Arabidopsis thaliana: one gene and its partner. The protein of the gene in region 1 interacts with the protein of each later gene in a biochemical or structural test. Each region holds a gene or a part of one and is shown in the gene's direction. Other genes may lie near its edges. The genes, in order: ABH1 and VIP2.

Region 1 (16,961 bases):
CTTTGGTTTATCCATAGTTGTTAGTTTGTAGTTTAAAAGTTCTGTTATGTTTTAAGTTTCACATGTTGTTGCCTGAAGGTTGTAAGTGGATGTTTCCACACATGTACTTTGATAGACTTTCGTTTCAATGAATGACAACACTTTTTTTTCCTCATAAGTGTTGCTTTTCATTTATAACAGAGTTTGCCAAAGATACAAGAGTGGAACAATCCACCTTCATGCTACAGACAACACTTTAAACAGAAAACAACAATGGAAAACCAAACAAGCGGAATCCATGTTGTAGAACTTAAATATTGAAACTGAAACTACAAAACACAGCCGATGTGATCAGTTCCAAAAAGTAACACAAAACCATATCCAAAATGTATTTGGTCTTTAGCACGGTAGTCATCTTCTCCATGAAGTCAACAAAACACCTGCCTTAGAAACTAAACAACAATGGATTGACCTAACAAGAGTAATCCATGCTGCAAAAGATAACCATAAAACTGAAAACACAAAGCACTCAATATCTCATGATCCAAAAAGTGATATAGAGACCCTATCCTAGCTATTATTCAAACCCTTAACTAAGACTGCAACATGAAACCATGGCAGCCATAAACCAAAAAATATGACAAAATCCATTGAGTGGTTAACGCTTCTTAGGAAGTTTCAGAATACCTCCCATTTGATGATCAGTTTCTTGATGCTTAGTTTGCCTTCTCATTGTCACTTTGTAGAATCACTAAGTTTTTTCGTTTAGAAGACTCCCCAATGTTCCTGTTATTGCGAGATTCTCCATCTGGACAAGGACGAAATGATTCTCCTACCTCATAAACACGTCGAACTCCTGAAGTAATCGCAGCTCCAGAGGAAGGATTAATGTTAGAGTCTGGGAAGACATGATGACGACCTACACCTCCTTGAGTAGAAGGAACCATGTAAGGTTGGAAAGCTGCATTTCTTGAACTTGGAAAATAAGGACTAGCACCTGCTAATTCTTCTGGATTCAATGGAGGAGCTGGGACCCTTGGAGGTGGAGTTCAAGGAGCAGGCAAGAAACTAGCAGTCATCTGAGACTGAGAGTTTAAACTGGACCTTAAAACACTATCTCGAAAGGCCGCTCTTTCCCGGTCAATGCTCTGCAGACGTTGAAGATAAGGACAATAGTTCCTGTTATGATTGAACTTGAAACAGCTACTACAGATACGTCTTAATCGTTCATACTGAAACCGAATTACAACTTATTCTCCTGACTCAAAAGTGATGCGTTGAAATAACCTTAGACGCTCGGTGATACCAATCTGAACCCGGACTCTAATATAAGCAATCTGAGTTGAAGTAGCATCATGAAAGTCTAAAGAGATAATCTCTCCAATCTCTTGAGCAATCTCTAAAGCTGTTTCTTCATACACATAAGGAAGGGGAATACCACGCATCTGAACCAAAAGATCAATGGTAGTGACAAAGTTTAAAGCAGGAGCAGGCTCCCATCTTTGAGATGCAACAAACCTGTTGTTAAAAAGCCATGGTTCCCTCCTTTGTACTGAGACCAAGTCCATTTCTGTGTGAAACAGGAATTGCACATACGTAGCATCTAAAACTCTTCCATGAACATGAGTTGTTAAACCCCAAGATCTTGGTAAAGCAGCAATAACAGAGTAGAGATTTTGTACCCGTGGATTGAGAGGTCTTGCTATTATACTCAGCCTGTTGGTTTCAGCCACCATAACATAAGCTTCATGTGGAATAAACAGAGTCGGATCCTCCGGACCTAACTCAAGGTTTTGTATCTCATCCCACAGCTTATCCGCCATGTTACTCAGAGTATGAAGGAAGAAAATGAAATTGAGATATAAAAGACTCTAACAAAGAAGTATAAATAGAAGAAAGGAACTATAAAATGAATAACCTAAAGTTAAACATTAATAAAATAAAGGCTAAAAAAAAGAAGCCGCAAAAACAAAACCCAAATCTAAAGAAACATTAAACTTAAAAAATCTAACAAGACACAAAAATATCCCAATCACCATTCTAATTACCTCTCTCTGCAGTAAAACCATTGTCATCCACAAAGGGTATCCTCTTGCCACGTAAGATTGAAATCTGAAACCTGTGATCACACTTGTTGCTATGTCAGAAGCGCCTCTATTACAGTGAGCACGTTCCATCATGAGAAACTAATTTGGCTTGTCTTTAGTGAGAAGCAGAAGCTCAGTAATATGACCCAAAACATTAGGCCACTCACTTGGTTTGTGCAAAGCTTGAATAATGTCATAGGTGGATGAGGCGAATGTGAATTTATCAAAATGATGATGAGACATACAGTCTAAAGCCCATTCCCAACTTTGCATCTTAGCATCAAAAAGAGATAGTACCTGAGTAAAAGATCTTATACTATGCAGCAGAACCTCACCGTGTGAGTCTCTAACCACCCAAGATGCCCTTGAGAGTTGATGTTTCTTAGACCAAGCAAAGCCGATATTGCATTTCAATTCATCTGGCAGAGGTGGAATCCATTTCTGAGAGGGCAAAACTTTATGATTTTCATGACTATGAGCCTGAGCCAAACACCATTGATGACATTCCTCAAACGCCTTGTCCACTAGATTAACTGTCATTGATCCTATACCCTCAAATAACAATTTAATTCTGTTTTTCCATAAAAAACCAAATAATCCAAGGACCAACAATCTCAACCGATGATGAATATCATGTCTTTGTGGTAAATCAAACAAAGAGCTTATGTTTGCATAAACAGAACCCAAAAATTCAAAGCCTGAAAATGACAAATGAGAAAGAGCCCAAACTTGTCTATCAAAAGGGCATTGAAACAAAATATGATTGATTGTTTCATCACACAATAAGCATCCATCCTTAATAATCATTCCTCTAGTTCTGAGTCTGTCTTCAACAACAACTGCCCCTTTTAAAACTTTCTAGAGGAAGATTTTAATTTTTAGAACTGTCTTTAAAGTCCAAATTTTAGCAAACAATGGATTTAAAGATGGATGAACCTCAGACTCTTGATACAACTGATTATGAGTCTTCTTGCTTATCAAATCATTCCCATACTTAACCGAATAAAGACCATTATTCGAGTGATCCCAACAAATATAGTCTTCTTTATAAACCACTGGTCTGTGTTGAGAATCAACTGAATATCCTTCCAAGGAAACAGATCTCTAAGCATGTTGAGATTCCAATTTCTAGACACAGAATCAATAAGTTGACTAACTTTCAACTTAATATCCATTAAAAGCTGCCTATTCATTGGTCTTCTATTTTGTCCATCATTCAACCATTTATCAGTCCAAACATAAGTCTGATTCCCATTCCCAATGATTGTTCTTAAACCTTGAATGAGTAATTCTCTACCATACAAAATACTATTCCAAGCATAAGAGGGCCTAGTTCCTTTAATAGTAGTAAGAAGATCAGAGTTGGAAAAATACATGCTCTTAAAAACTTTGAAAAAGAGACTTTCTTTCTCATGAATTAATCTCCATGCCTGTTTGGCTAATAAAGCTTGGTTAACACATTGCAGATCCTTAAAACCAAGCCCTCCCTGATCCTTAGGTATAGTTAACCTTTTCCATCCAATCGAGTGAATTTTTTTTTGTTGCATAGTATTCCACCAGAAATCCATCATCACACTGGTCAAAATTTTGCACAAAGTCTTCGGCAGTCGAAAACAAGTCATTGCATATAAAGAAAGAGCCAGAGCAATAAATTTGAGTAAAACCTCTTTGCCACCCTGAGATAGTTTTCTAGCATACCAGCCTGTCAAACGAGTGTGTAGCTTTTCCTTAATAAATCCAAACAGCTCCTTTTTAGAACCCCGTAAACAGTCAGGTAAACCACCTTCTAAAGAAATTTTTCAGACCGATGTTTTATCCAATTCTTGAGATCATCACCAACTTTGGCCCCAAAAGTGATTGCAGATTTATCTAAATTAATCAGTTGGCCAGAAATGTGACCATAATTAGATAAACAATTCAATAGTTCCTCACATTCTTCCTTTGTGGCCCTACACAAAAGCAAGGTATCATCAGCAAACAACAAATGGTTTATTGATATTCCTTCAGCTTGAAACTGAATTTCTGAAATTTTTCCTTTCTTTTCAGCTTCATTAAGAATATGAATTAAAGCCTCCGTGCATAAAACAAACAAAGCTGGAGAGAGGGGATCACCTTGTCTAATACCTCTTTCTGGAATAATGTGACCATAAGGTTGCCCATTAATCAGCACAGAGTAAGAAACAGTTGTTACACACTGCATAATCTAGGCAATCCATTTCCTGTCAAAACCAAGAGCCTTCATAATAGCTTCCAAAAAAACCCACTCAACCCTATCATATGCCTTAGACATATCAGTCTTGAAGGCCATCTCTTCTCTTGACATTCTATCATTAGTTCTAAGACTATGCACCAGTTCATGAGCCACTAAGATATTATCAGAAACCAATATTTGAGGAACAAAAGCGGATTGAGTTGAAGAGATAATACTTGGAAGATGTTTTTTCAATCTGGCAGTGAGGATCTTAGAGATGATCTTATATAAGACAGAGCACAAATTGATGGGTCTTAAATCCGACATACTTCTCGGTTTTGTGATTTTTTGAATGAGACAAATGTGAGTGTGATTCCAATCCTGTGGTATAACACCATTCTCAAAAAAAAAAAAAACTCGCTTAAGACCTGAGTTTTAACCAAATCCCAATGTTGTTGAAAGAACAAAGCAGTAAATCCATCTAGTCCTAGAGCACTTTCACAATTAATAGAAAACACTGCATTATACACTTCCAATTCTGTGACATCTTGAGTTAATTGTTGATTCATATCCAATGAAACCTTTGCTTGAAAACCATTCAAAAAATTATCCTGGCCTATTGGATAAGAAGATGAAAAAAGATGCTGAAAGAACGAAGAAGCAATTTTCCCTTTCTCACTAATCCTGGTGTGTTCTTGTCCATTTTCATCCAGAAGGAAGCTCAAAGAGTTCCCTAATCTAGAAGATTTCAAAGAAGCATGAAAAAACCAATGTTTTTATCTTCAGCAAACAGCCATTTTTGACTACTTTTCTGTCTCCAAAAGAGTTCATCATCCTCATCAGCAAGACCCAATTGATCTTTAATATATGCAATTCTAGGCCAATTTGGAAACTCATAACTTTTCAGCAAATCCAAATCTTTCCTCAATCTTTGAATCCTACTCTAAGCATTAGTATCAGCTGATTTTTTTCCATACACTAATAGCTCTTCGACATTCAATAAGACTAAAGATAGAGGAGTGAGAACCTTGAGACATTGCATTGGTCCAAGAGTTGGAAATCACTTGAATACAAGAAGGATCATCAGCTATTCTTTTGTCATAACAAAACTGTCCACGAAACAACTCGTTATCATTAATAAACTTGACTAAAACAGGACGATGGTCAGATCCAAATCTCTCAGAAACCACTGGTGAGAATTTGGAAACAAAGAAAACCAAGAGGAATTCCCAAAGCATCTATCCAATCTACACTGAATCCATTGACCATTTCTAGTCCCTCCCCAAGTAAAGCCATTGCTTGTACTACCTAGTTCATGCATATCACAAGTATTCAACATGTCTTGAAAAGATTGAAACGAAGAAGGTACTCTTCTCGGACCCCTCTCTTTCCCGTTTTCGACTTAATATCATTGAAGTCACCTATCATACACCAAGCTTGCTTCCGATGTGATCCAAGACTACACAACTTATCCCAAACCTAAGGCCTAAGATATGTCACCAGATGCCCATAAACACAAGAAACAAAGCATACTTTATTTCTAGAAGAACACTGAAGATCCAAAAGATGTTTATCATCAAAAAGAATCTCAATGTCCAAATGGCTTTTCCAAAAGATTGCTAAGCCACCACTTCTCCCTTGAGGTTCTATTGTATACATATAGTTATAACCAAGCCAATCAATAACTTTTGAAACAAACTCGTCAGGATTCATAGTCTCCATGAAGAATAAAATGTCCGAGATATGATTTTTTTTCATCTCCTTAAGGTGTCGAATTGTCCAAGGATTCCTCAAGCCTTGACAATTCCAACTAAGGACGCCTTACTGATCCAACGGTGGTTCACTTGGAACCACCGTATTCTTGTCTCTCTTGAAACTTTGAGCTTCTGTAATGTCTGAGGGTTTTCTTTTCCTTTTGAACACCTTTTCAAAATGAGGAGAGGCAGGAGACTGAATAACCTTATTCTTCAGAGACAGCTCATTAACTAGTTTTTCTTTCCTGAACTGAAAAGGAGTGAAATCCTGCATTATATGATGTTTAAACCCTGAAGTGGAGGAACTAGCCTCACCAACACATGTGGTAAATCCAGTACTAATGTCCAAATCTAGCATCTCAGCTAACAAAGTATTCTCTGGATGACTATCAATTGCAACAGTAGCTGATAGAGGATTTGCTGGCAAAGCATCTACCCTTCCTTTGGGAGCAATTGACTGAAAGGGAAACTCAGCCAGCCTCGGTAAAAACATCTTCTTCTGTTTGCCTTTCTCTTGTAATGATCTCACATCATGTTTGATGGAATCTAAGACTTTGGATGGGCATCTATTTTTATCATGAGTTAATCTTTGACACAAGAAACATCTCTTTCTAATCTGTTCATAGTCAAAAGAAATTGTGACAACTTCACCAGATGGAAGTTGTACCTCTTTATTGTTACGAAGTGGATTGGCGACATGAAACAAAACCCGAACACGAACATAGTCCTGAAACTGTGATTTTTCAGAGTCCATCACCACCTCCTTCACTTCCCCAATACAGCTCGTGATCTCTTTAATTGTGTCCTGAGTATAATAGTTCACCGAAATATTCCTCACTCGACCCCAGATTGGAAGAAAATTCAGATAATCAATTGGAGGATTCTCAATCCATCTATCCATGACTACACCCCAATTTATCTTCTGTCCAAACTCCAATTTTCATAATTTCTTCTAAATCTTCCTCAGATTTGAAGAAAAATTGGAATCGATCCTTTGAGAGAGCAACACCTCTAACCCGAGAAGAAATTCTCCAAATTCGTGGCATATCTAATATCCAATTAGACATCCTTTGATTCTCTAGATTCAAAAACCTACCCAACTAACGACAGTTGTTTCTGTTAATTGAACAAAAGCGCGGTTGATCAGAAAGAATCAGAGGCTTATTGTCTTAAATCGACATATTCTGAATGGCTTTATCCAGCTCCATGATGAGATCCTGATAGAGAGTAAACAACTTTCCCGAACTCGTCAAACCTGATTTGCAGGAAACAAACTCCAAGAGAAAAAACAGTGAAGAAATCCGAGTAATTCAGATGATAACCAACACAGAACTGAGAATCACAAAGCAAACTCTCGTAACAGAGAAAGAGTCAGAACTACCAAAAATCCGAGGAAGAAAACAACAATTTAGACCGGACCGAACACGTAAATATTTCTGGTAGAAGCTCCGTTCAGAATAGAACACCTGAGAGAAAAGTCTTTAGGCTCCAAATTAACTGGGACGACTATTGTTTTAACGGCTAGTTTCAGCTACTAAGAGAAAGAAGAGAGAGAAAAACTTTTTGTCAAACTCTTTTTGTGAACTCCTTTTCTTAGATGACAACACTTATGAGAAAAAAAAAAAAAAATTAGTTTTGACGAGACACGGACATAAAAAAAAAAACTAGGGCAGAGTGACTGATACCAAAGGAGAAACAACAAAGAGACGAACTGAAGAAAAACCTCTCGGAAGAAGATGAGCAATTGGAAAACTCTTCTCCTTCGCATCGGCGAAAAGGGACCTGAGTACGGCACTTCCTCCGACTACAAAGACCACATCGTCAGTATCTCTCTCTCGATTCATCCTCGCTCTTAAACCCTAATTTTCTCACTACTCAAAACTTTTCCGATTCTCTATATACAGGAGACTTGTTTCGGTGTCATTCGTAGAGAAATCGAGCGTTCTGGAGATCAAGTTTTGCCTGTAAGTGACTTCGAGCCTTCAATTTTAGGATCTGTTGTGATGTATCTCTGTGGATATTATTATTGTGTGTTCTCATTATTTTTGTTTTCGTCTTAACAGTTTCTACTACAATGTGCTGAACAATTGCCTCATAAGATTCCTTTGTATGGGACTTTGGTAAGTCTCTTATAAACTAGTTACCTTGGCTTTTTCATTTCTGGGTATGTGTTGGATGTTGGGCTTGCATTTAGATGTGTTATATATGTGGAGGTTTTGATTGAGTATGTTATGGTATCTGTGAACTGATTCTTATCGAAGAATAATTAGCTCGAAGCAATAACGGAAGGCATTTAACTTGAAACAAATGAACACTTCAGAAACACAAATAATAGTGGAAATGCCCTTAAGGTGGATCATTTTGTGTCTATTATATCATATATAACATGTTGTAGGAATCTATTTATTCATAGTATTCATCAATATTTGCTAACTTCTGAGTAATAAAGAATGCTTGAATATTTTCTGTGTATAATTCTTATCTGTGTAAGTAGCATTTGGATCTATTTTTGAACTGAGATACCCTGTTCCCTGTTATAAATTAGTTCGATTTAATCTGATACACATACTTCGAAGTTTGATGGATGTCTTTCCACATGTTTAAGATTGGTTTGTTGAACTTGGAGAATGAAGATTTTGTCCAGAAGCTAGTAGAAAGTGTCCACGCTAATTTCCAGGTGAATAATCTAATCTGTACATCAAAGGCCAAGGATAAATTGATAACATAAGTTTTCTCAGTTACTTTTGTTTCTAATGTGACTGTTTTTCTTGGTCAAACATGCCAGGTCGCTTTAGATTCTGGCAACTGCAACAGTATCCGTATATTGCTTCGCTTTATGACTTCCCTGGTATGGTTGCTAATCATGTTTCATGGTTGCTTCGTCTATTTAATATGTTAGTTCATGTTTCTAATACACAGAAAGCGTCTAAAAAATAAAAGTGCGAAGTATATAGAACAGTATTTGTGAAAATTTTGAGATGTTTTGTCTATTTTCTAACATGTTTTAGTTGGGTTCTTTAGTTGTGCAGTAAGGTTATTCAACCTGCTTCTTTGATTGTCGTCTTCGAAACATTGCTATCATCTGCTGCCACTACTGTGGATGAAGAGAAAGGAAATCCATCATGGCAGCCACAAGCTGACTTTTACGTTATATGCATCTTGTCCAGCCTCCCGTGGGGAGGATCAGAACTCGCTGAGGTACTGCTCTTGGACTAAATACATTCTAGAAATTATTTACATTGAAGGCTATTAGAATACTGGATATGCGTTTCCAATTTTATAATGATGTCATCCTTGTTGGATCTGCAACCAACTTTGTTAGTCTGCTTTCATATCTATTATCTTAACTTGTATGGCCGCTGAATTTCCCTTTGGTTTGCAGCAAGTTCCTGATGAGATTGAAAGAGTGTTAGTTGGGATACAAGCTTATTTGAGCATCCGAAAGAATTCTTCCACCTCTGGGTTAAACTTTTTTCACAACGGAGAATTTGAAAGCAGCCTTGCAGAGAAGGTTTGCCTTTTAGTGTTTAATTCTTGAAGTTGTTGTATTTGCTTTGTGTTAGCTGCCCCTCTGATTTTGTTTCGGTAGATGTCTTGGCAAATGTATAAATAAGATGCATGGATGTGACGTTTCATTTCTGCTTTTGTTTGAGATAGATATCTGTTGAATTTTGTATCATGGTGTGATAACTTTTGGTCTGCGTCATTCGTCTTTCTCATTTGTGTCTCGTTAGGATTTCGTGGAGGATCTATTGGATCGAATTCAGTCTCTGGCTTCCAATGGATGGAAACTTGAAAGCGGTATGCTTATTTTGTCAACTTCTCATATCTCTTTGTATTACAAGATTGCAATCTTCTACGAACCCTCTCTTTTAATATCCTTATCTACCTTGTTTGACTTACAAATTGATCAGTTCATATGACTAGAGATATTAGTTGTATATTACAATTGACAATTTCATGCATATTCAATGTGCTAGTACCTAGGCCTCATCTCTCGTTTGAAGCTCAACTCGTTGCTGGAAAGTTTCATGAGCTACGTCCCATTAAATGTATGGAACAACCGAGTCCACCTTCTGATCATTCGAGGGCATACAGTGGCAAGCAAAAGCATGATGCATTGACGAGATATCCCCAGAGAATTCGTAGGTTGAATATATTTCCAGCTAATAAAATGGAGGTAATATTCTGGTTTTTGATGTCATTGTTTATCTGAATAGGACATATTTCATGCTAATGGAAGCTTATTATACTTGCTACCTTTTCAGTCGTCAACATTTTTCTTTTTTCTAACCTATTATATTTGTAGATTGATATATGGGTTATATGGTGTCCTTTTGTATTCCTTTTCTTTGTCTACCCTTTCTTCTGATTCTGTAACTATCAAACTCGCAGGATGTACAACCAATTGATCGTTTTGTCGTGGAGGAGTATTTGCTGGATGTGCTCTTCTATTTGAATGGATGGTGTGTATTTTCCCAAAGCTTGTGTTCTTTTGACGTTTTTGTATGTTTCTTCTATATTTTTCTTGCACAGTGGTCGTCCATTCATGCTGGTTTTGGTGTAGATCTTGGTTTTTGTCCCCCAACCATAGCAAATTAGTCACGTGTTTTCTAAATTATTAACCTTAGAGTATGGTGTATTAATCTAAGTTCATGACTTACTCTTTGAATAATATGGTCACTGATTCAGCTGGGCGACTAATTGGCTACTACTAAGGGCTAGTGTTTTTGCGTTGAGTATCTAGTTGAACCTAGCATATACTTATTTAAGTCATTATTATGGTTGTAGACTTGCCTAGCATATACATGTTTTCTAATCAACATCTTAGCTTATGCTAAGTCTCTTTCTTTCTGGTTACTAAATTTTGTTTGCCTTCTTAAATTATATAGAATTTTGTTTCACTAATTAATTTATTGCAAAGCTAGTCGGAAGGAGTGTGCATCCTACATGGCTAATCTTCCTGTTACATTTCGGTACGAGTATCTTATGGCAGAGACACTATTTTCTCAGGTAACTTCTGTTGTATAAATTTTGGGATTATCTCTCTAGTGAGTATTCACGTTGTAATATAAAAGCATACGTTTCTGGCAGATTATACCAATTAATTCCAAGATCTGTGATTTTTAAATATAACAATTGTATCTACTGTTTTTCAGATACTGCTGCTACCCCAGCCACCATTCAAGACTCTTTATTATACACTCGTGATTATGGATCTTTGTAAGGTACAAAGGATTATACTGTTCATCCGATGGTTTTTAAATCCCTGCTGTTATTTCTTTTTTCAACCTGATTCCAAATATTCAATTAATTTAGGCTCTTCCGGGTGCCTTTCCTGCTGTTGTTGCTGGCGCTGTTCGTGCACTATTTGAGAAAATATCCGACTTAGACATGGAATCCAGGACGCGTCTTATCCTCTGGTTTTCTCACCACTTGTAAGTATATAATTTCATATTTCTTACCTCTTGATTTTTTGTAATCTGGAAAAGGTGCTTTATTGTCGAATGTTTGGTGAATGTTCCATATATGTTAGAAAGTTACCTAGCTTATAAAATATGGATTATTGAAACATAAAATATGGATTTTCAGTCAGCATTACTGACGATTCGTTTACATGATACAGTGGTCGTGTTTGAGTCTTACTTTCTCGATTAATTGAGAAATATGTTATTCATCACATGAAGTTGATTACGTATTTCGTTTTGCTCTCTACTCTCATGTTGATAACTCCATGCTTAACAGATCCAACTTCCAATTCATCTGGCCGTGGGAAGAGTGGGCTTTTGTGTTGGATCTTCCCAAGTGGGCCCCTAAGCGTGTATTTGTTCAGGAGATTTTGCAAAGAGAAGTACGCTTGTCTTACTGGGATAAAATTAAGCAGGTAACAGATCGTCAGATATCCTAATAGCTGCCAAACTTAAGCATCAGATATACTTTTCTCTTAGCCTAGGGTTATTTGTCTTATTCCATTTTGTGGGGGATCAATGTTTCATCTTGTTATCCACATGGATATATCATTCCAAACTTAAGCATCAGATATCCTTCCTCAGGCTATATTGTTTTTTCTATGTGTGTCTAACAGAGCATTGAGAATGCGACTGCCCTAGAAGAATTACTTCCTCCAAAAGCTGGTCCGAATTTTATGTATTCCTTGGAAGAAGGTAAAGAGAAAACAGAAGAACAGCAATTGTCAGCCGAATTGAGCAGGAAGGTCAAGGAAAAACAAACCGCACGTGACATGATAGTGTGGATTGAAGAAACGATATATCCAGTTCATGGTTTTGAAGTTACTCTTACAATAGTTGTACAGACCTTACTTGACATCGGATCAAAAAGTTTCACTCATTTGGTCACTGTCCTGGAGCGATATGGCCAAGTATTTTCAAAGCTTTGTCCTGATAACGATAAGCAGGTGATGCTATTATCTCAAGTGAGTACATACTGGAAAAACAATGTACAAATGACGGCGGTGGCAATTGATAGGATGATGGGTTATAGACTAGTATCTAATCAGGCAATTGTTAGATGGGTGTTCTCTCCAGAAAATGTTGATCAGTTTCATGTGTCTGATCAGCCATGGGAGGTCAGTTGCGTTTTAACAGAAGTATATTTATTTTCTACACTCTGCAGAGCAAGTTTGTTTATCTTCGTAAATCTGTTTCTGTCTCTGCAGATACTTGGCAATGCTCTTAACAAGACTTATAACCGTATCTCTGATTTGAGGAAAGATATATCAAACATTACGAAAAATGTTTTGGTTGCTGAGAAAGCTTCAGCCAATGCACGAGTAGAGTTGGAGGCTGCTGAGAGCAAACTTTCCCTAGTGGAAGGTGAACCCGTTCTTGGTGAGAATCCAGCGAAGATGAAGCGTTTAAAATCAACAGTGGAGAAGACAGGGGAAGCGGAGTTATCTCTTCGGGAGTCCCTAGAGGCAAAAGAGGCTCTTCTTAACAGAGCTCTCTCTGAGACCGAGGTATTATATATTAGTTTAATGCAGCACATGATCTTATTATTTCCTTTTATCTACTAAAAGCTAATTGAGTTGACTTGTGCATAGGTTTTACTGCTCTTGCTGTTCCAAAGTTTCTTAGGTGTACTGAAGGAACGGCTCCCAGATCCAACTAAAGTGAGATCAGTGCAGGATCTAAAATCTATAGGTGCTGAAGATGACAAGCCATCTGCGATGGACGTGGACAGCGAGAATGGAAACCCAAAGAAGAGTTGCGAAGTCGGTGAGAGAGAACAGTGGTGCTTATCAACACTTGGCTATCTCACGGCATTTACAAGGCAATATGCGAGCGAGGTAAAAAATAACTTAATAGTTGGGATGTTGTTGTAAGAGCTTTAGTAGATTGAATATTGACTTGTTTCACCATGTTCTTGTAGATATGGCCTCACATGGAGAAGTTGGAGTCAGAAGTGTTCTCGGGTGAAGATGTGCATCCTCTCTTTCTCCAAGCCATATCTTCTGCACTTCAATTCCCATTACATTAATCTTCCTCTTTCAATCTCAATCAAACCTGTCTCTTTTGTTTTTTGTTATGAGATTCTGATTCTGACATCAAGTTATTAGGAAATTGAAAAGAGTCAAAAAACAAGAGTTTAAACTTTTAACACCAGTCTTGTTTCTGGAGCTCGTTTCTCAGAGTGGCCTACGCAAATATCGAAAGCATTTCATTTACCAAAAAGGGAACTGCATGTTCCGATTTGAGCACAATTGAGCAACCGTACTATAAAATTGTCTGCTTATGAGTAACAATATTAATTTATTGTAAGAAATTTATTATACTAAGAAGTTGAAGACAAACATAATGCTCAAGACTCAAGTAGCCGGTTACTACAATGAGTATCAATTTTTGTTATAATAGCAACAACATTCTGGTAATTTTTCACCTTTTTTAACAAAATCACACTGTCCTCCATCATACTTCGCCTTTCTACAGTTTTTGTAACATTGATGATTTCCGTAAAATCTCAAACATGGCCCAATGCAACGATCATATTGTTGGATTTGGATCACTGCAATTTTATAACCCAAGTTATATATATATATATGTGTATGTAAGACATTCCATGAAAACATTTTTCTAATTTCTGAAAAGATAATGTTTAACCATTGCTCTTCAAATGATCAAAAAAACAGTTAACCTCTCTAAATTAATATTCGATAAATTAATAATCTCTGTAAATTGAATAATAAAAACATTCCTTGTGTTGCCAAGATGTTGTAATTACAAACCGAAATTGTCAATATCGCTACAACGAAAATAGTCACATAAGTTTTTGTGACATCCATTATATTCACTTGAGAAAAATAGCCTCTCTTTTAAAAAAAATTCAGATCTTTATGAAAAACTCAATTTATATGATATATATTTGTGGAGAAAAATATCAAATTTGAACTACTCTTTCATTTCTTATTATTACTATAAATGAATGTTTTATATTTGTTAATATAAGGTTGACTAAAATTTAATGTGACTTAACAGTGGGTGATTGGTTAGGCTGTAGCTGTAAATTAATTGTTGTAAGCTTTTAGCTGTAGATGTGTTAGCTGTAGATTTAGTTTTTTTTTGCTGTAAAATTTTGGCAGTAACTTTATAAAGAAAATGAAAAATGATTCGTAATTATTTATTATATGTCATTATTGTATAATTTTAAAAAATATTATTTGAAATAGTTATATGAAATCAGTAATAAAAATTATATTTTAGTTTTTTAATAAAGTATCTATTATAACATTAATATAAACATTCAAAATATTACTTATAATATACATGAGTAAGGAGGAAATTTGTATATATGCACAATATATAATTTTATATAATATACATGGTGATGTGTATATTTGACGTTGTTGTTTTCAGCTTATTATTATTATTGTAATAAAATATATATATTTATTTAATAGTTAGTATATATATACGTATATATATCATAGTGACAATGTAAATAAAAGTATATAATACGTTATAATAGATGACAGAGAAAATAAAAATCTGAATATCTAAAATTTCTACAGCCAAAATAATAAGGCTTTAAGAAATACTAAGGGAGTTACCCGCGCCTTGCGTGGCCAAGAATTTTTTCTGAAATAAATTTTTAATTTTTATTGATAGAACATATTTATGAGATTTGGAAATTCTACATAATATTACAAATGATCAAACAAACCGTCTCTAAAACAGAGTATTTAAACATTCCTTAAAACCCATAACAACATAATACTCATCGATCATTTTTGTAGAAAATTTTCATTATCACTCAATCATCCAAACCGGAACATCTTGAATTCGTAGCAACCCAAGCATAAGCGGTGGAGAGTGTACTATATATATAAATTTAATAGGTCATTAGACGTATGGATTATGTATATCCAACAATATATGAATTTAAATGCTGAATATTACCAGTTTTTGATTTCCTCAAGTTCGTAAAACTCCGGGTGAAAAAAAATTTTAGAGCATTCAACTCTATTCATGAGACATGGTTTTCCTGTAAAATATTAAATTAGTGATGTTTTCTACCGTTTTTAGAAAATACAATGAATAAATATAAGTCAATACCTTTATACTCTTCAACATGCCAAAACATCAAAACACAAAAAACAGGATCACGAAGGTACGAATGATCATACTCTCGGTAATCCTCGCTTCTGAAACTCTATTGTATACATGGCTGAAACATAAAAGGGTAGCTTATTCATAATATGAATAAAATATAAAACTAAAATATGAACACAATATCAACCAAAACCAAGAATTATAAACTTCAAAAGGGACTATGGTACCTCAGTTAACATCGTCGAACGTCTTTTCTTTTATCACTTGCCGAACGTCTTTTCTTTTATCACTTGGTGCATAAGGCTATCCAATTTCATTTTAAAAACTCGGCAAATGATATCAGGCCTATCTTCTCGCTTAAGCTTGTGCCTGGCTAGGTAACGCACGACTTCAGACCATTTAGGATTGCACGTAATTGTTACAAAAAGATCGGGAAAACATGTAAGAAATAGTGTCAAAACACAAAGTAGAAAAAAAATACGATAATAGTTAAAAAGTTTACATACGAATTTGTAATTTTAAGAAGATCAAAAGAGAAGAAATATAAATAATATCATAAAATTTAAAGGGTTATAATGCAAATGTTGAACTTTGGGGGACCAGCTGACTTCCTTTAATCTTCTTTGGGTCTGCCTATGCGGCAGACCCATAAATACTTTTTACAGAATCAAAATATAACTCAAAATAATAAGTAATTAAAAACAACTAAAACATTATTAAAAAATCTTCATCTCTTTTAAAAAATACCAGAAAAGTTATTTAGATGATACCCAAAAGTTATTTATTTGACACAATCAAACGAACATGGAACTCAAAAAATAAAATAAACAAATCAGTAATATCATATAAACACCAATTTATCAAACACAAGCACACAATAAACAACTAGATTCATAAAAAAAATTTGTAGCTATATAAAAAATCATAATATCAAAACTATCTAATGAGGAAAAAAAGAAACTGGACGATAATTGTGTGGCCGAGACTCGGTATTTATAGCTTAGGAATTAGGGCAAAACCCGGTATTATCCATTTTTCATGTTTGTAAAATAGATTTTTTAGGGTTTTACATATGACTGTGTATTTTTTTGGGCTATTTTTTTCAATAATTTCAATAGTTTCTTTATAATCAAGTTAGACAATTTTTTAATCATCCAAGACACGATCATTTCTTTAATATTGATATATGCAATGACAGAAAATCCAAAAGTATTGACTTATATAATATTCAATTTTCGCTACCTTTTTATTTTTTTCATACAAATACTCTTCAGATCTTGTTCAGTTGATGTCGATCTAAACTTTAATCATGAGCCTATCACAATGTTGTTGAAGTACATAAAACAAAGAATTAATTTATTTATAATCGAGTTAGGCAAATTTT
Region 2 (16,094 bases), on another chromosome or scaffold:
CATGAAAGGATCTAATGGTCTGATATATAGGAAAAGGAGGTAAACCCATCGTCAATTGGGGTACTCGGCTAAGAATAGCGGCGGAGGCAGCACTAGGTTTGTACCAAGTTACACTGTAGAACTTGAATCCATTCGATTGGTTTTACAAGAATCATTTAATATTATTGAATCATTTTGCATAGGTTTGGAGTACTTACACATTGGATGCACACCACCAATGGTTCATAGAGATGTCAAAACTACAAACATATTGCTGGACGAGCATTATAAGGCCAAACTTGCTGATTTTGGGCTCTCGAGATCTTTCCCTGTTGGAGGTGAATCTCATGTTTCGACGGTGATTGCTGGTACTCCTGGTTACCTTGATCCAGAGTAAGAATCAATTAACAGTGCTGAAACTTTTCTTTTCTTTCGTCGATACTTAAAGAGTATATACCATTCGCTTTCCTTGTAGATATTACCATACAAGTCGGTTGAGTGAGAAAAGTGATGTTTACAGTTTCGGGATTGTTTTATTAGAGATGATCACAAACCAAGCAGTGATTGATCGAAACCGCAGAAAGTCTCACATAACACAATGGGTAGGGTCTGAGCTTAACGGAGGAGATATTGCTAAGATCATGGATCTAAAGCTTAACGGTGATTATGATTCTCGTTCTGCGTGGAGAGCTCTTGAGCTAGCAATGTCGTGCGCGGATCCTACCTCAGCAAGACGACCAACCATGTCTCATGTTGTTATTGAACTAAAAGAGTGTCTCGTGTCTGAAAACTCGAGGAGAAATATGAGTCGAGGCATGGATACACTAAGTTCCCCTGAAGTGAGCATGATCTTTGATGCTGAGATGATTCCCAGAGCAAGATAGTTTGTGCTGCAAGTGACACAATTGTAATGAAACCACCACTCAACGAATTTACTTGTGGCTTTGACATGTCGTGTGCTCTGTTTGTATTTGTGAGTGCCGGTTGGTAATTATTTTTGTTAATGTGATTTTAAAACCTCTTATGTAAATAGTTACTTTATCTATTGAAGTGTGTTCTTGTGGTCTATAGTTTCTCAAAGGGAAATTAAAATGTTGACATCCCATTTACAATTGATAACTTGGTATACACAAACTTTGTAAATTTGGTGATATTTATGGTCGAAAGAAGGCAATACCCATTGTATGTTCCAATATCAATATCAATACGATAACTTGATAATACTAACATATGATTGTCATTGTTTTTCCAGTATCAATATACATTAAGCTACTACAAAATTAGTATAAATCACTATATTATAAATCTTTTTCGGTTGTAACTTGTAATTCGTGGGTTTTTAAAATAAAAGCATGTGAAAATTTTCAAATAATGTGATGGCGCAATTTTATTTTCCGAGTTCCAAAATATTGCCGCTTCATTACCCTAATTTGTGGCGCCACATGTAAAACAAAAGACGATTCTTAGTGGCTATCACTGCCATCACGCGGATCACTAATATGAACCGTCGATTAAAACAGATCGACGGTTTATACATCATTTTATTGTACACACGGATCGATATCTCAGCCGTTAGATTTAATATGCGATCTGATTGCTCAAAAAATAGACTCTCCGTCTTTGCCTATAAAAACAATTTCACATCTTTCTCACCCAAATCTACTCTTAACCGTTCTTCTTCTTCTACAGACATCAATTTCTCTCGAGATAAACTAAATCTTCGCTGAAAAAATGTCGGGTCGTGGAAAGGGAGGAAAAGGTTTGGGTAAGGGAGGAGCCAAGCGTCACAGGAAGGTTCTGAGAGACAACATCCAAGGAATCACCAAGCCTGCGATTCGAAGATTGGCTCGTAGAGGTGGAGTCAAGCGTATCAGTGGTCTCATCTACGAGGAGACTCGTGGCGTCCTCAAGATCTTTCTCGAGAACGTGATTCGTGATGCTGTCACTTACACCGAGCACGCTAGGAGGAAGACTGTGACCGCCATGGATGTTGTCTACGCTCTCAAGAGGCAAGGAAGGACTCTTTACGGATTCGGTGGTTAATTAGAGTTTTTCAGATCCGCGTTTGTGTTTTCTGGGTTTCTCACTTAAGCGTCTGCGTTTTACTTTTGTATTGGGTTTGGCGTTTAGTAGTTTGCGGTAGCGTTCTTGTTATGTGTAATTACGCTTTTTCTTCTTGCTTCAGCAGTTTCGGTTGAAATATAAATCGAATCAAGTTTCACTTTATCAGCGTTGTTTTAAATTTTGGCATTAAATTGGTGAAAATTGCTTCAATTTTGTATCTAAATAGAAGAGACAACATGAAATTCGACTTTTGACCTCAAATCTTCGAACATTTATTTCCTGATTTCACGATGGATGAGGATAACGAAAGGGCGGTTCCTATGTCCGGGAAAGTTCCCGTAGAAGACAATGAGCAAAGCTACTGAAACGCGGACACGACGTCGCATTGGTACGGATATGAGTTAAACCGACTCAATTCCTTTATTAAGACATAAACCGATTTTGGTTAAAGTGTAACAGTGAGCTGATATAAAACCGAAACAAACCGGTACAAGTTTGATTGAGCAACTTGATGACAAACTTCAGAATTTTGGTTATTGAATGAAAATCATAGTCTAATCGTAAAAAATGTACAGAAGAAAAGCTAGAGCAGAACAAAGATTCTATATTCTGGTTCCAATTTATCATCGCTTTAACGTCCCTCAGATTTGATCAGCTGCGAGAAAACTTTACTCATGGAAACACCTGAACTATCATCAACACTCGATTCTTCTTCATCAAACCGTCCCTCTTTAGCTACAGAAAAGTTAACACTCGTGTCTCCATGGTTGTAATCATTGAACCGTAGAGGTAACTCACCGATCATGTTTGTGCTGTCTTCTGGATCACCATCAACGACAGCTTCTTGTAGCTGCAAAGCGTATTCAAGATTCCACAACACATCTCCCATTGATGGTCTATCGACTCCATAGTCAGCTAAACATTTCTCCCCTGTTTCACCGAACTTTCTAAGCGAGTCAGGTCTGATCTTACCCCGCAGTGACGGGTCGATGATGTGTTCAAGCTGTCCTTTCTTCTGCCATTTCATTGCCCATTCCGCTAGATTCACCATTTCTCTAGTAAGTGTCGGGTCTATAACAGGTCTCGCGCAGAGAACCTCGAACATAACCACTCCAAAAGAGTAAACATCTGATTTCTCTGTGAGCTGTTGTCTTCTGAAGTATTCTGGATCAAGATATCCGAAACTTCCTTTGACCGCGGTACTCACATGAGTCTGATCGATCTCCGGTCCGGTCTTAGACAGTCCAAAGTCTGCAACTTTAGCCATGAGATTCTCGTCAAGCAATATGTTGGCGGATTTGACGTCTCTGTGAATCACGGGTTTCGCGTCACCGGTGTGGAGATAATGCAATCCTCTTGCTGATCCAATGCATATCTCAAGACGTTGCTTCCAACTCAAGCTAAGAAGACCTGAACCGTAAAGGTGACTCTTCAATGTTCCATTCTCCATATATTCGTAAACCAGAATCATCTCGTTATTCTCGTCGCAGTATCCGATCAAAGAAACCAAATGGCGATGACGGAATTGTGACAACATTTCGATTTCTGTCCTGAACTCTGCAAGTCCTTGCTGAGACTTAGGATTCGCTCTTTTAACAGCTACTTTTGTACCGTCGTGAAGCTCTCCTTTGTACACTTTACCAAAACCACCAACTCCAATTGCTCGATTCTCATCAAAGCTATTTGTGGCCTCTTTAACTGCTACCAAAGGAATTCGATAACTGGAATTGGAAGCTATACTTGCAAGTGTAGTTCCATTTGAGGATGAAGTTGTTCCATTGGATGACAAAGGAATCCAAGTCTTTGAATTACCATCTTGGTCTCGTCCTCGTTTCTTGTACAGCACAAAGAAACCTCCTAAAACCACTAAAGCAAGCAATGAGCCGATCGTTAAACCAATGATCATACCAACATTCTTCTTAGTGGTTGAACTTGAACCACTGGGCAAAAATGTTCCAATACTGAGCTGACTTTTGGAGTTATTCATCTTCATGATCTCTAATCCGTTCAGAATCGCAGTAGGGTAATCCGTGTGAACACTCGATCGACCGATGCTCACACGGATTCTTTTAGTCAGTTTTGCTGATCCTGTGACAAAATCCATCGCGTATGCACCACTCAAAGTGTTGGATAAATAAGAGCTCAGATCAAGATTCTCAACAACATCCATAGAGTCGACATAAAGATTGAAGTAAAGCTGGTTTAGAGCTTTACTCACGATATCGCAGAAATGAAACCGTAGAAAGTACTGAAAACCCGGGTCAACATCGAAATCCCAAGTCACATTGAAGTTGCTAGACGGGTTATCCGCAGAATTCATCTCGGTGCAAGTACCATAGACAGTTCTAGGAGCAGTCTCCTCTGTAGCAAAACCAGGAACATAATCAACAGATGCAATCTTAGACACACTCTTAACTAGATTCTTCTCAACTAGAAACTCAGAATCAGGCTCCCAAATTCTCGAAAGAGTATCGTTACTAGGCGTAACACGCGGACCGCCCATGTTCACTCTATAAACCGTCTCAAGAGCTTGCCATGACAAGCCCTGAAACTTCCCAGGACTGCCTGCAAAGGAAGGATCACCACTGAACAACGTATCAGGAACCGAAACAACCTCGAGCGCGTTCAGAAACGCAAATGAATCACCCGAGGGAGTAAACGTGAGCTCCAGATGATCCGTAGCTACATTCAGAGAGTATTCCTTCATAACTCTGGAACTCACAGTGAAATCACTCAAAAGAACATGTGTTTCTGAAGAAACAGAGAATTTTGCTGAGACCATTTGGAAGTTTTGGTACTGAAAAGGATTGAAATGGAGACGAATCCAGTGACGGCCTCTAGCAACGGAGAATCTGTACTTAGAGATTCCGGTGAAGATTCTCGCCGTCTGGTAAATATCTGAATTTGAATTGCGATTACTGGCGGCGAGGATTTCATTAGGAGAGGTTAGAAAGTTTGAAGCAAGGTTATCAGAGATAAACACTCGACTAGTGACAGTGACGTTGGTTGATGATCCACAGTTGATGAGGTAATTATCCACTGGTACGTATCCATAGCAGAGGAAGATTAAGCAAGGAATCGATAAAATCCAAATCAAAAATCCAAACTTTTCACCACCCATCTTCACAAAACCTGGAAATTTTAAATAATTCGATGGGAATAGACAAAGAATCTATCAGCTAGATTCAAGGGATATACGACATGAGCAAATCAACGGTTTTGTTTTACCAAAGATGACAACTTTATAACGACAGATAAAAATAAAATCATAACGGATAAAATTAAGTAACAAAAAAAACAAATTTTTTGTACCTTAAAGAGTAAATTGTTCCATGAAAGGTACAAAAGTTGAGGATCAGCTGATAGATTGATCTCCAGATTTTGGCTTTTGTGTAATAAAATTTGGGTTTGGAAATTGGAACAGAGTAGTAACAAACAAGAGATGGGTTTTTTTGTGAACTCTGCAAACATGAATATATAAAAAGTTATTAATTTAATATTTGTGTATTAGATGCAACGACAAATAAATTGACGTGAGCAAATATAGGAGACGAAGGGATTGAATTGAATTGTCAGTCTGATTTTTTCTGATGGCTATGAAAGTTAGGAAGAAGACGAAAATTTCCCAGATTTTACCATAAAAAACTGCACAAACGTTAGTGGGTATGTTACATTACCACTTTTTAATCTGTAAAGAAATAGCGATAATTTAACTTTTTCTCTACAACAATACTATATATTTTTCTTGTTAATTATAATTATAATTATAATATCATTTTTGTATGCAATCGTCGGTTCGTCACTCACAGTCACATATGCTAAATCTCAAATATATACTTTCTTTATTCCAAAAAATTAAGGATGGTAGTGGAGGTTGGAAAAAAAGTCAACATATGTAGGTTGTGTAATTTTTTTTAAGGATATACCAAACTTCCGACCATATTTATGAAGAAAGCACGGGACACATGATTTTTTTCGGCATCTGTTCATGCATTATAAATAGATTATCATGAGTTTACTATTCCATGTTCGTTCTGTTGGAAGTTCATTTCAAGTTTTTTTTTTTTTGTCACAATAGTCTCATTTCAAGTTTTTGTTACTAGTTAATTGAGCTATTAAGTTTTATACTTAAAGTATCATACACTACTTAGCCTTGAGATTTTTCATAAATCAAAACGAAACAGAAGCTTAAAGATTTTAAATGAAATGAGGTGGTCACATACATATATGTGTCAAAGATCTAGAAGTTCTAGATTGGATATAAATGAAGAATGACGACATTAACCGCCCCTACTTTTCATCTAAATGGAACATGACATACAATAGAGTTTATCTGAAAGGATCGATAAGATGTCGCTATATTTACTAAAATTATCTATAATATGATGAGCCCACTATGTTTTTCTTGACAATTGGGAACTTATAATATAATTCTTGGATATCAACGTATAAATGATCATTTACATAATCTAGTGCTTGTGTTAGTGTCGTGTGTAATATCCAAGTTCAAGCATGTATCATATGTTGTACAAAATAGTTTCAGCCTAAAATGATATTTGTGGACCTGTGTTGTCTACCGACACATTTGTTTGGACAGTGGAAACAACAATTCTATACTATGTTAAAGCATAATCAAGAAGAATAAAATAAAAATTGGTTGAGATGTCGCAAGGAGAATGACTTTTAGATTTGTTTATATTGATTCACTTAAAACAAATACAACATAAAATTCAAATTTACACATATTAACATAAATTGAGTTGTATGTTGTGCTAAGATTACTTAGTGATATTTTAAAGCCCATGCAAAAATAACTTATCTTCTAAAGAAACGGCCTTTTTCTTATTTTTTGTAAACTTTGACAAGCTTAGATCATATGATTGAATTGCATTAATGGACGTTATTTTAATTATCTTGAAAGATCTAACGTCATTTTCATGTTAACTAAATACAAAACATCTTAGCATTCATAGCTGAATAAGAGGCATAGTTACTATTCAACACTTTTAGCTTTAACTACAACCTTCAAAACACACAATTTTGTCGTTTTGTTTGATTTAGGCTTCGTAATCTTGTAAACAGAATTCACCTACTTCAGTATTTCTTCTTTTACACTACGATTTCATGATTCCACAAAGTAAAACATCAACATCATTCTTGATTTGGAAGTAAAATTGTGAATCGTGTATCTAATGGGCCTGGTCAAATAGGCCCAAACATGGATCCGCAAATAAGGAATTTTTCTCCTTACAAAAGACACTCTTTCTGAGTAAGAAGGTTTCGTGGGGCCTGTCGTGACCTCTGAAAGTTCCCTCCATCACCAATCATTCGGCACAAAACTAATATTTATATTTTGTTTCCTTTATTTATTTTATTTAATAAAATATTTATCGATCCCAATTTTCTAAATCTTGCTTCTTCTCTCGTTCCTATATCCGTTTTCCGATTTAGGGCACCAAATTGAATCAAAATCTCCGCTTCTTCCCAATTTACGAAACTTCACGAAAAATCTTCTTCGGATTCTTCTTAACCCTTTCTCTCAATTTTTCTTCCAGAGTTTTCTAATTGGGCACTGTTTCTCTTCTTCTTCTTCTTCTTCCTCCGTACGCATCCTTCTCCTTTTTACTGTTGAGTGTGAACAGATTTAAACAACGTCATTTCTAGGGTTTTCGGAGTTCAATTTTGTTATCTTACTATTGAATTTGCATCGCGATAGCTGAATTTAGGATCCTGTGTTGTTGCTCAGTCGTATTATTACAACTGTTGAATTACGCTTGCGTTTGATTGTTTTTTTCTTTATTGGATCCTCGTGAGGTTTTTTTTTCTTGTTCTGAATCGTTTCCTGGACTTCTGATTTCCTGCTAGAAGTTTATTTCATGGTTGCTGATTCATTATCTTCTTGTTTCTAGATGAAAGTTTACTGTGTATAAACCTTCAAAGGATGAGAATTTCAATCTTACTTTGAACAATATGTAGTTTATACAGTAGCTTCGTCTGTTGTTGCACCATGGTTGATAAGATTTATGTCTCCTTTGTTTGGTTTATTGAATTCTTCCTTTTTTCCAGGCTATTCATTTCTGAGTAATCGTTTATTCCATCTCAGATTGTAGGCGGTTTCGCGTCTTGTCACCGAATGATACATTGTCTCACGTGAGATTGTCAGTCAGTTAGTGCAATGTCAAACCTTCATGTACCTTCCTATTCACCTTGAGAATATTTTTAGTGTGCTTAGGATAACGTTTGCTTAATTATGCGTACCATTTCTCATCCATCAACTCTTGTGCTCTTTCCTTTGTAGTCATCTCTCAATGGTTCAGCTTCGAATTTACCAGATGGTTCGGGCAGATCGTTTACTGCTTCTTATTCTGGACAATCTGGTGCACCGTCTCCCTCTTTTCATCATACTGGTGGGTGTTATTCTTATCTTGACCTTCTTCTATATTTTGCGTCGTTCTGAACTTATATAACTTCTACATATTCTTCATGCAGGAAATCTTCAGGGACTTCATAATATTCATGGGAACTATAATGTCGGGAACATGCAAGGTACACTTACATCAAGAAACTCAAGTATGAATAGTATACCATCTGCCGGAGTTCAACAACCTAATGGGAGTTTTTCCAGTGGAAGATTTGCTTCAAATAATCTACCTGTTAATCTCTCTCAGGTGCATGTTGTTTAAAATTTTGTGAAAAAACGGCTCTTGTTCTTAATCTGTGTCTTATATTATACGATGATTGCTTTGTAGTTGTCCCATGGTAGCTCACATGGGCATTCGGGAATCCCAAATAGAGGTCTTAATGTTGTTGGCAACCCTGGATTCAGTAGTAACGCTAATGGAGTTGGTGGTTCTATTCCTGGAATTCTCTCTACATCTGCAGGACTCAGTAATCGGAATAGTGTTCCAGGGATGGGAATATCCCAATTGTTGGGAAATTCAGGTCCTCGAATAACAAATTCAATGGGAAACATGGTTGGTGGAGGTAACTTGGGGAGGAATATTAGCTCTGGTGGATTGTCTATTCCTGGTCTGTCTTCACGACTAAATTTGGCAGCAAATAGCGGATCAGGATTAAATGTTCAGGGACAGAACCGAATGATGGGTGGAGTACTTCCTCAAGGTATATATGATTTATCGAGTCCTTTCCATTTGCTGTCTTCAAGGTTTTTTTTGCCTTTCATTTGATACAACTGAGCCGAGCCTTGTTTAACTTCTTGTTATAGCATTGTAAATAAAATAGAATATATTGCTTCATGGAGTACACCTTTTTACTGGTCTAGTAGCTAGGAGGTCCTGTGGAAAATAAGTTAGAATAATTAGTCATTTAGGGGGTAGGATTGATATCAGCAGTTGAACTTGTTTTGCTTTTGTAGTCTATACTTCTCTAGACTCACGTGAGTACGTTAGAATGTAGAGAAAGCAGTACTCTGGGATTGTTTGGACTTTGTAAGACGAGCTTGTTTACTTTACACAAAATCTTATTTAATTAAACATGCAATTAGTTAGCAGCTGCTGTATGTGGAAATAGCAGTAAAAATTTAATTGTAAAATTGTATGGTACAGGATCTCAGGTCATGTCTATGCTGGGGAACTCCTATCATACTGGTGGTGGCCCGCTTTCGCAGAATCATGTTCAGTCAGTTAACAATATGATGCTCAGTGATCATCCTAACGACAGCTCTCTATTTGACATCAACAACGATTTTCCCCAGCTGACAAGTCGTCCTGGGTCTGCTGGTGGCACTCAAGGACATCTAGGTAGTCGGTTTATCTGAAGATCTTTTGAAATTCATATACTTAATATAACATAAGTTTTTGAAAAGATTTTCCAAATCATGTCTTGTTTCCTCATACTCTTGCGGTGGTGTTTTTAGGCTCTTTGAGGAAACAAGGTTTAGGAGTTCCACTTGTCCAACAAAACCAGGAGTTCAGCATCCAAAATGAAGACTTTCCTGCCCTTCCTGGATATAAAGGTGCTGGTCTTTTATTGTCGATAACTTTGTATTGTATTGTGCATAAAGTTGGGTCTTGCAGACTTTATGTGCACGTAGTGAGGAATATCGTCTCTAGTTTCCCCTATCTTGAAAAGTTTTCCTCTATGCTATTCTCCAAAATCTCATGAAAGTCCGTTTCCAAGTTCATAAACTTCTTAGCTTCCTTCATATTATAGCTTATTGCATGAGAAAGATGATAAGATGTGCTTCTTAATGATGTAAGCTAAACCTGCTGGATCATTCACAAGCGTAGTAGATTTGTTGCAGGTGGTAATTCTGAGTATCCTATGGATTTGCATCAAAAAGAACAACTGCATGACAATGCTATGTCAATGATGCACTCTCAAAACTTTTCTGTAAGCTTTAGACTGTTTCGAAGTTAACAAAGTGTTGTCCTGCCTTTTTCTGTTGATATGGTTGTTGATGTGAATTAATGTTTGGATATTGCAAATTTGCAGATGGGTAGATCTGGTGGTTTCAACTTGGGAGCAACATATTCATCACATCGTCCACAACAACAGCCACAACATACTTCATCTGTGAGTGGCAGTCTCTCCTATCCCTATATGTATACAAGCCGGAACTTTCTTCAATTTGCATATCTCATATTATTATGGTACTGCATCATGTGGTTGGGCCACACTTGCTCCAACTACCGTATCTTATCATTTAATTCTTATTTAATACCAGACTGGTGGGCTACAGGGTCTTGGCCTTAGACCTCTAAGCTCGCCTAATGCAGTTTCCAGTATTGGTTATGATCAGCTTATTCAGCAGTATCAGCAACATCAAAATCAATCCCAGTTCCCTGTGCAACAGATGTCATCAATCAACCAATTTAGAGATTCTGAGATGAAATCGACACAGTCAGAGGCAGATCCTTTTTGCTTGCTTGGCTTGTTAGACGTACTAAACAGGAGCAACCCTGAATTGACCTCACTTGCTCTTGGCATCGACTTGACGACGCTAGGATTGGATTTGAATTCAACTGGAAATCTCTACAAGACATTTGCGTCTCCTTGGACAAATGAACCGGCAAAGAGCGAGGTCGAGTTCACAGTACCAAATTGTTACTACGCCACAGAACCTCCGCCTCTAACTGTAAGTTCCCTCTGTTGTTGCGAGTAGTACCAACAAAGTATTTTCTCGATTTTGTTAACAAATGTGTCATTATTTCCGTTTGTTGCAGCGAGCTAGTTTCAAAAGGTTCTCCTACGAGTTATTGTTCTACACATTTTACAGGTCTGTTATTAGATCAGCATTCAGCGTCACATTTGCCCAACTCCTAAATTAACCTTGGGCTTTTAAACTTATTACTTTGCTCTAATTATTGTTCCAGTATGCCAAAAGATGAAGCACAGCTGTACGCAGCAGATGAACTGTATGTTTTTTCTCTACTGTAATCTTTGATCTATTCGTTTACTCCGCTCTCTTTGGCTGAGACTTTTGAGTTCGATTGACATGTTGCAGTTACGAAAGAGGTTGGTTTTACCACAAGGAACTCAGAGTATGGTTCTTCAGAGTCGGGGAACCTTTAGTCAGGGCAGCTACATATGAAAGAGGAACATACGAATACCTTGATCCAAATTCGTTCAAAACAGTGAGAAAGGTAAGCCGACGATTATTGCAGGAATATCTATTTCCTTGTTCTCGAATTTGCAGTGTTATGAGTGAATTTTGCTGGTGATGGTTATCGCAGGAACATTTTGTTATCAAGTACGAGCTTATGGAAAAGAGACCAAGCTTGCTGCAGCTTTGACGACAAGTAGGTTTGTTCAATTAGTAGCATCTTTACAATGTAAAGCTTTTCTCTTCATTTCTCTTTCTTTCTTTCTTTCATGCAAGTTCTATTGATTAGAAACCAAAACCATGACATATCACATTTTCAATTTTTAACCCCAAGTTTCCCAAAAAGGTAATCACAATTACTTTCCATGGTCATTTCTTCTGGTTCAAGCATGACATGAACAGGCAATAAATAAGTTGAGATTTTGATCACAGTAACTGATACTTGAATCGAATCATTTAGATTTTTTTTTTTTTTAGTTTACTTGTTTAGTAAATATGTTGTCTATGTTTGTCACAAAAACGTGGCTCAGTTCTTGTATATATGGAGACAAAAAAATCCATTAAAAGATTGTTGACATTCTCGGAAATTTAGTGCCAACTGTTATTGCGAGAACTTACTATAGTTTTCCTTTGGCGAAAAGCTAATAATCTTAAATCTTGATTTTGTCCTCTTTTCTCTGAGTTAGATTTTCTTAAATTCCACTTCCGACCTATTAAGAAATGGGCTTTTGCAAAGAAGATCCGCTTCACTGAGCCCGTATCTCGAAGAGGATAATACAACAACAAAGCAAAACGGCACGTAGTTTTAATTGTAACCAAGGATTGCATTTCGGTCTTGTTTCAACAAACGAAACTTCCTGAAATGCCAAGAAAAATCTGGTCATTTCACCACAGTGATCATTGTGTATGTGTTCTAAAGACTCCAAGCGAAGGTTTTAGAAAAAGGAGCATTTTCTATTCTATTCAAGAAACTCGAAGAACATTCTCTCTTCATCCTCTAACTTCCCTATAAATATGTCCTTTGCTAATCAGATCAAATCAGCAGGAAAATCAAGAACCAAAAGTCTCCCGAAAAGCAACGAACAATGTCTCTCATTCCAAGCATTTTTGGAGGACGCAGATCAAACGTCTTTGATCCGTTCTCGCAAGACTTATGGGATCCATTCGAAGGATTCTTCACGCCATCTTCTGCGTTGGCAAACGCTTCAACCGCTCGTGATGTGGCAGCGTTTACAAACGCAAGAGTGGATTGGAAGGAAACGCCGGAGGCACATGTGTTCAAAGCGGACTTGCCAGGCCTGAAGAAGGAAGAAGTCAAGGTTGAGGTTGAAGACAAGAACGTTCTGCAGATTAGCGGAGAGAGGAGCAAGGAGAACGAAGAGAAGAACGATAAGTGGCACCGTGTGGAGAGAGCTAGTGGGAAGTTTATGAGAAGGTTTAGGTTACCGGAGAATGCAAAGATGGAAGAAGTGAAGGCAACAATGGAGAATGGTGTGCTTACGGTTGTGGTTCCGAAAGCGCCTGAGAAGAAGCCTCAAGTCAAGTCCATCGATATCTCCGGGGCTAATTGAATATGAAGATGAAGATGAAATATTTGGTGTGTCAAATAAAAAGCTTGTGTGCTTAAGTTTGTGTTTTTTTCTTGGCTTGTTGTGTTATGAATTTGTGGCTTTTTCTAATATTAAATGAATGTAAGATCTCATTATAATGAATAAACAAATGTTTCTATAATCCATTGTGAATGTTTTGTTGGATCTCTTCTGCAGCATATAACTACTGTATGTGCTATGGTATGGACTATGGAATATGATTAAAGATAAGATGGGCTCATAGAGTAAAACGAGGCGAGGGACCTATAAACCTCCCTTCATCATGCTATTTCATGATCTATTTTATAAAATAAAGATGTAGAAAAAAGTAAGCGTAATAACCGCAAAACAAATGATTTAAAACATGGCACATAATGAGGAGATTAAGTTCGGTTTACGTTTATTTTAGTACTAATTGTAACGTGAGACTACGTATCGGGAATCGCCTAATTAAAGCATTAATGCGAACCTGATTAGATTCACCGACCCTCCTATCGTGTCGACCTTTCTGTTTCTTAGAATTTTTTGGTAGTCTATGTACTAATAATGTCAGCTTCGTATTTATTTCATAAGCAATTTGCATTTGCAATTTGTTTTTTACTTTTATTTTTATTGTATTGTGGAATGTGGACTCGTACCAACATGAAGTTATATACCACCAAAAAAATTACAGTTAGTCAAAAGATTCACGAGTGAGAGCTACTTATGATTGTCTTTTACGTATATGTCTAATTGTCTATTTGCTCAATAATCTTTGTACTTTCTTTTGTCGTTGATAAAATCACAAAGTTCCAAAAGTAATCGAATGATTTGCTTTTAAGAAAAGAAGAGCTCAATAATTCAACATATATCTGTACACACATAATTGAATAAGATATTCGACACATCAATCACTATAGGTTACATTATAACCACACAAATTAAAGAAAAGAAAAAAAAAAAACTAATATCACGAGATTCTCATTCAATGACTACTACGTCCGCCACGAGCTTTACCCGTACTCGACGAACCAGTTCCGGATCCGGATCCGGATCCAGACCCACCAGCTGTCGAAACACTCCCTGAGCCTCTAGACCCAAAGTAAAGATCCGAGAGGTAATTCCCAATATCTTCAGGGGTATATCTGGAAATAGCCTCATTATCTCCAACCATACCATATGCAAACCGGTTCATCCGGTAAAACTCGGTACAAACCAGCATAAGTTTCTGACTCAACGTGATTTTAATCTGGTCCCTAAGTTTCGGGTCGGGTATAACCCACGAAGTCTGTTTCCGGTACGACGTCTCAAACTCATCGTTGAATCTCGCCACCAAAACCTTAGCTTCCTCCGGCGAAATCTCATCCGTCGGAATCTCCGGTAGTAAATCCAGCACTTTCCCCCACGCAAGCTTCTCAAACTTATCAGCATACAGCTTCACCTTCTCTTCATGCCTAAACACCCAATCGTCTCCGAGAAGAACCTTCAGAGTCGACGATCGGACTTTAACGACGACGTATTGGAGATTGTTAGCGAGGAAGAGATAAGACAAAGCAACGTCTTTATACGGCTGAGCTTTACCGTCGATTTTACAAAGCGTGAGTAAAATCACCCAAGCGATACGTACAGAGACCGGAGACGAATACAGATCCTCCGGATTCGCTTCATCGCCGCCGCTTATGTATAAAGAATCCGGCAACGGCGTCGGCACACTCAGCTTCCAGTTTTCGAATATCGCAGCGATGGAATCACTGTAATCAGCGAGGAAGGAGAGGTAATTCATAACGTAACGAGTCAGAGGATGAACACCACCACCGATGATCGGAGTCTTCGAGGTTTCTTTCTGAATCGCCGATTCGAAATCCGTCATCATCAACCTCGTCGCATCGCCGAGTCTAGCTAACGAGTTTATCACCTGAGATCTAACCGCAGCAGCTGATTCGAAGTAGAAGATTGATTCAATCTCAACATAGAGATTCGCAAGAGCTTCATACATATCCAGAAACCGAAACATTTTCTCCGGAGTTAACTTTTTGATCTTGGAAGCATATTCCGGGAAAGTGAAGAGAATCAATGCTCCTTCTTGAGTAATCTCAGTGAAAGAAGATTCAACGATTAAACCAGAGGAAGAGAAAACATGATCAGCTAAAATCCTCTCACCGAAGAACAATTTTCTAACAGCTAATTTCACAGCTTTTAGCCATGTTTTGATCTTTGATTCGAGAATCTCCCAATCCATTTTCTGAACCTGATGAAGATTGAATCTCTCCATTTGCAGATTATGCAGCGTCTCATCAACAATCGATTTCCGTACGGTTTTATAAACCCTAACGCATTCCTTAGCGTAGCCGGTAGAGATCATACAATCAGCAATCATCTTGAGATCATCCATTGCGTCGGAATCTCCACCGGAGAATCTATGCTCTTCGTCGGCGTTTTCTTCGTAACTGCTTTCGTCTTCGGAATCGGAGACACTAGTCGTAGTCGAAGTACTGAATCTCGATGATCTGTAAGAACGTACAGAGACACATTCAGGATCTAAATACTCACGGTTCGCTTTTAAAACACGATGAAACTCTGATTCGAGAAGCTTCATCGCCGATTGCATTAGATTCTGTGCGTAGATTAGCTTCTCCGAGGAAGGGTTAACGGAAACCAAACGATGCATCGTGCTTTGTAGATGTCTAACGGCTGTAACAAACTCCTCTGCTTCACGACGACTGTTGGTGGAGAAGAGGAAGTCGTCGGAGGAAGAAGCAGCCGGAGAAGTCCATTTTGATATGACGGTGTTGATGTTGCTCATACATTCTTGAACAGCTGATTCCGCGAGAGAGAGATGAGCTGTTGGTTTCTCCGGTGGAGGAGATGATCGGAATAAATGCTTCCCCATTTTTGTGGTTTGCTCTGTTTTTATTTTT

What was found.
Region 2: the proteins of ABH1 (region 1) and VIP2 form a complex in vitro, tested with the Arabidopsis thaliana proteins (one study listed by BioGRID).

What each region holds. Positions count from the first base shown.
Region 1 is NC_003071.7:5,629,306-5,646,266, forward strand, and holds ABH1 (ARM repeat superfamily protein), read left to right. Parts: upstream 1-7,578; 5' UTR 7,579-7,747; coding exon 7,748-7,831; intron 7,832-7,915; coding exon 7,916-7,975; intron 7,976-8,074; coding exon 8,075-8,131; intron 8,132-8,616; coding exon 8,617-8,688; intron 8,689-8,796; coding exon 8,797-8,859; intron 8,860-9,032; coding exon 9,033-9,209; intron 9,210-9,393; coding exon 9,394-9,522; intron 9,523-9,745; coding exon 9,746-9,812; intron 9,813-9,991; coding exon 9,992-10,191; intron 10,192-10,406; coding exon 10,407-10,477; intron 10,478-10,939; coding exon 10,940-11,024; intron 11,025-11,170; coding exon 11,171-11,239; intron 11,240-11,330; coding exon 11,331-11,449; intron 11,450-11,756; coding exon 11,757-11,895; intron 11,896-12,096; coding exon 12,097-12,597; intron 12,598-12,687; coding exon 12,688-12,987; intron 12,988-13,071; coding exon 13,072-13,317; intron 13,318-13,400; coding exon 13,401-13,508; 3' UTR 13,509-13,761; downstream 13,762-16,961. Other genes in the region: AT2G13510 (Ta11-like non-LTR retrotransposon), read right to left, coding at 696-1,014, 1,267-1,802; AT2G13542 (defensin-like protein), read right to left, coding at 13,864-14,033, 14,250-14,310. UniProt on the Arabidopsis thaliana protein: Component of the cap-binding complex (CBC), which binds cotranscriptionally to the 5'-cap of pre-mRNAs and is involved in various processes such as pre-mRNA splicing and RNA-mediated gene silencing (RNAi) by microRNAs (miRNAs).
Region 2 is NC_003076.8:24,049,939-24,066,032, forward strand, and holds VIP2 (VIRE2 interacting protein 2), read left to right. Parts: upstream 1-7,439; 5' UTR 7,440-8,218; coding exon 8,219-8,233; intron 8,234-8,341; coding exon 8,342-8,450; intron 8,451-8,532; coding exon 8,533-8,711; intron 8,712-8,792; coding exon 8,793-9,165; intron 9,166-9,608; coding exon 9,609-9,803; intron 9,804-9,919; coding exon 9,920-10,018; intron 10,019-10,306; coding exon 10,307-10,395; intron 10,396-10,497; coding exon 10,498-10,578; intron 10,579-10,729; coding exon 10,730-11,140; intron 11,141-11,228; coding exon 11,229-11,281; intron 11,282-11,378; coding exon 11,379-11,420; coding exon of another isoform or gene 11,421-11,442; exon of another isoform or gene 11,443-11,484; intron 11,485-11,509; coding exon 11,510-11,648; intron 11,649-11,738; coding exon 11,739-11,798; 3' UTR 11,799-12,144; downstream 12,145-16,094. Other genes in the region: AT5G59680 (Leucine-rich repeat protein kinase family protein), read left to right, coding at 31-96, 183-372, 455-863; AT5G59690 (Histone superfamily protein), read left to right, coding at 1,711-2,022; AT5G59700 (Protein kinase superfamily protein), read right to left, coding at 2,675-5,164; HSP18.2 (heat shock protein 18.2), read left to right, coding at 12,694-13,179; EXO70H7 (exocyst subunit exo70 family protein H7), read right to left, coding at 14,162-16,066. UniProt on the Arabidopsis thaliana protein: Transcriptional regulator required for Agrobacterium-mediated stable genetic transformation by T-DNA integration in host genome, but not for T-DNA transient expression.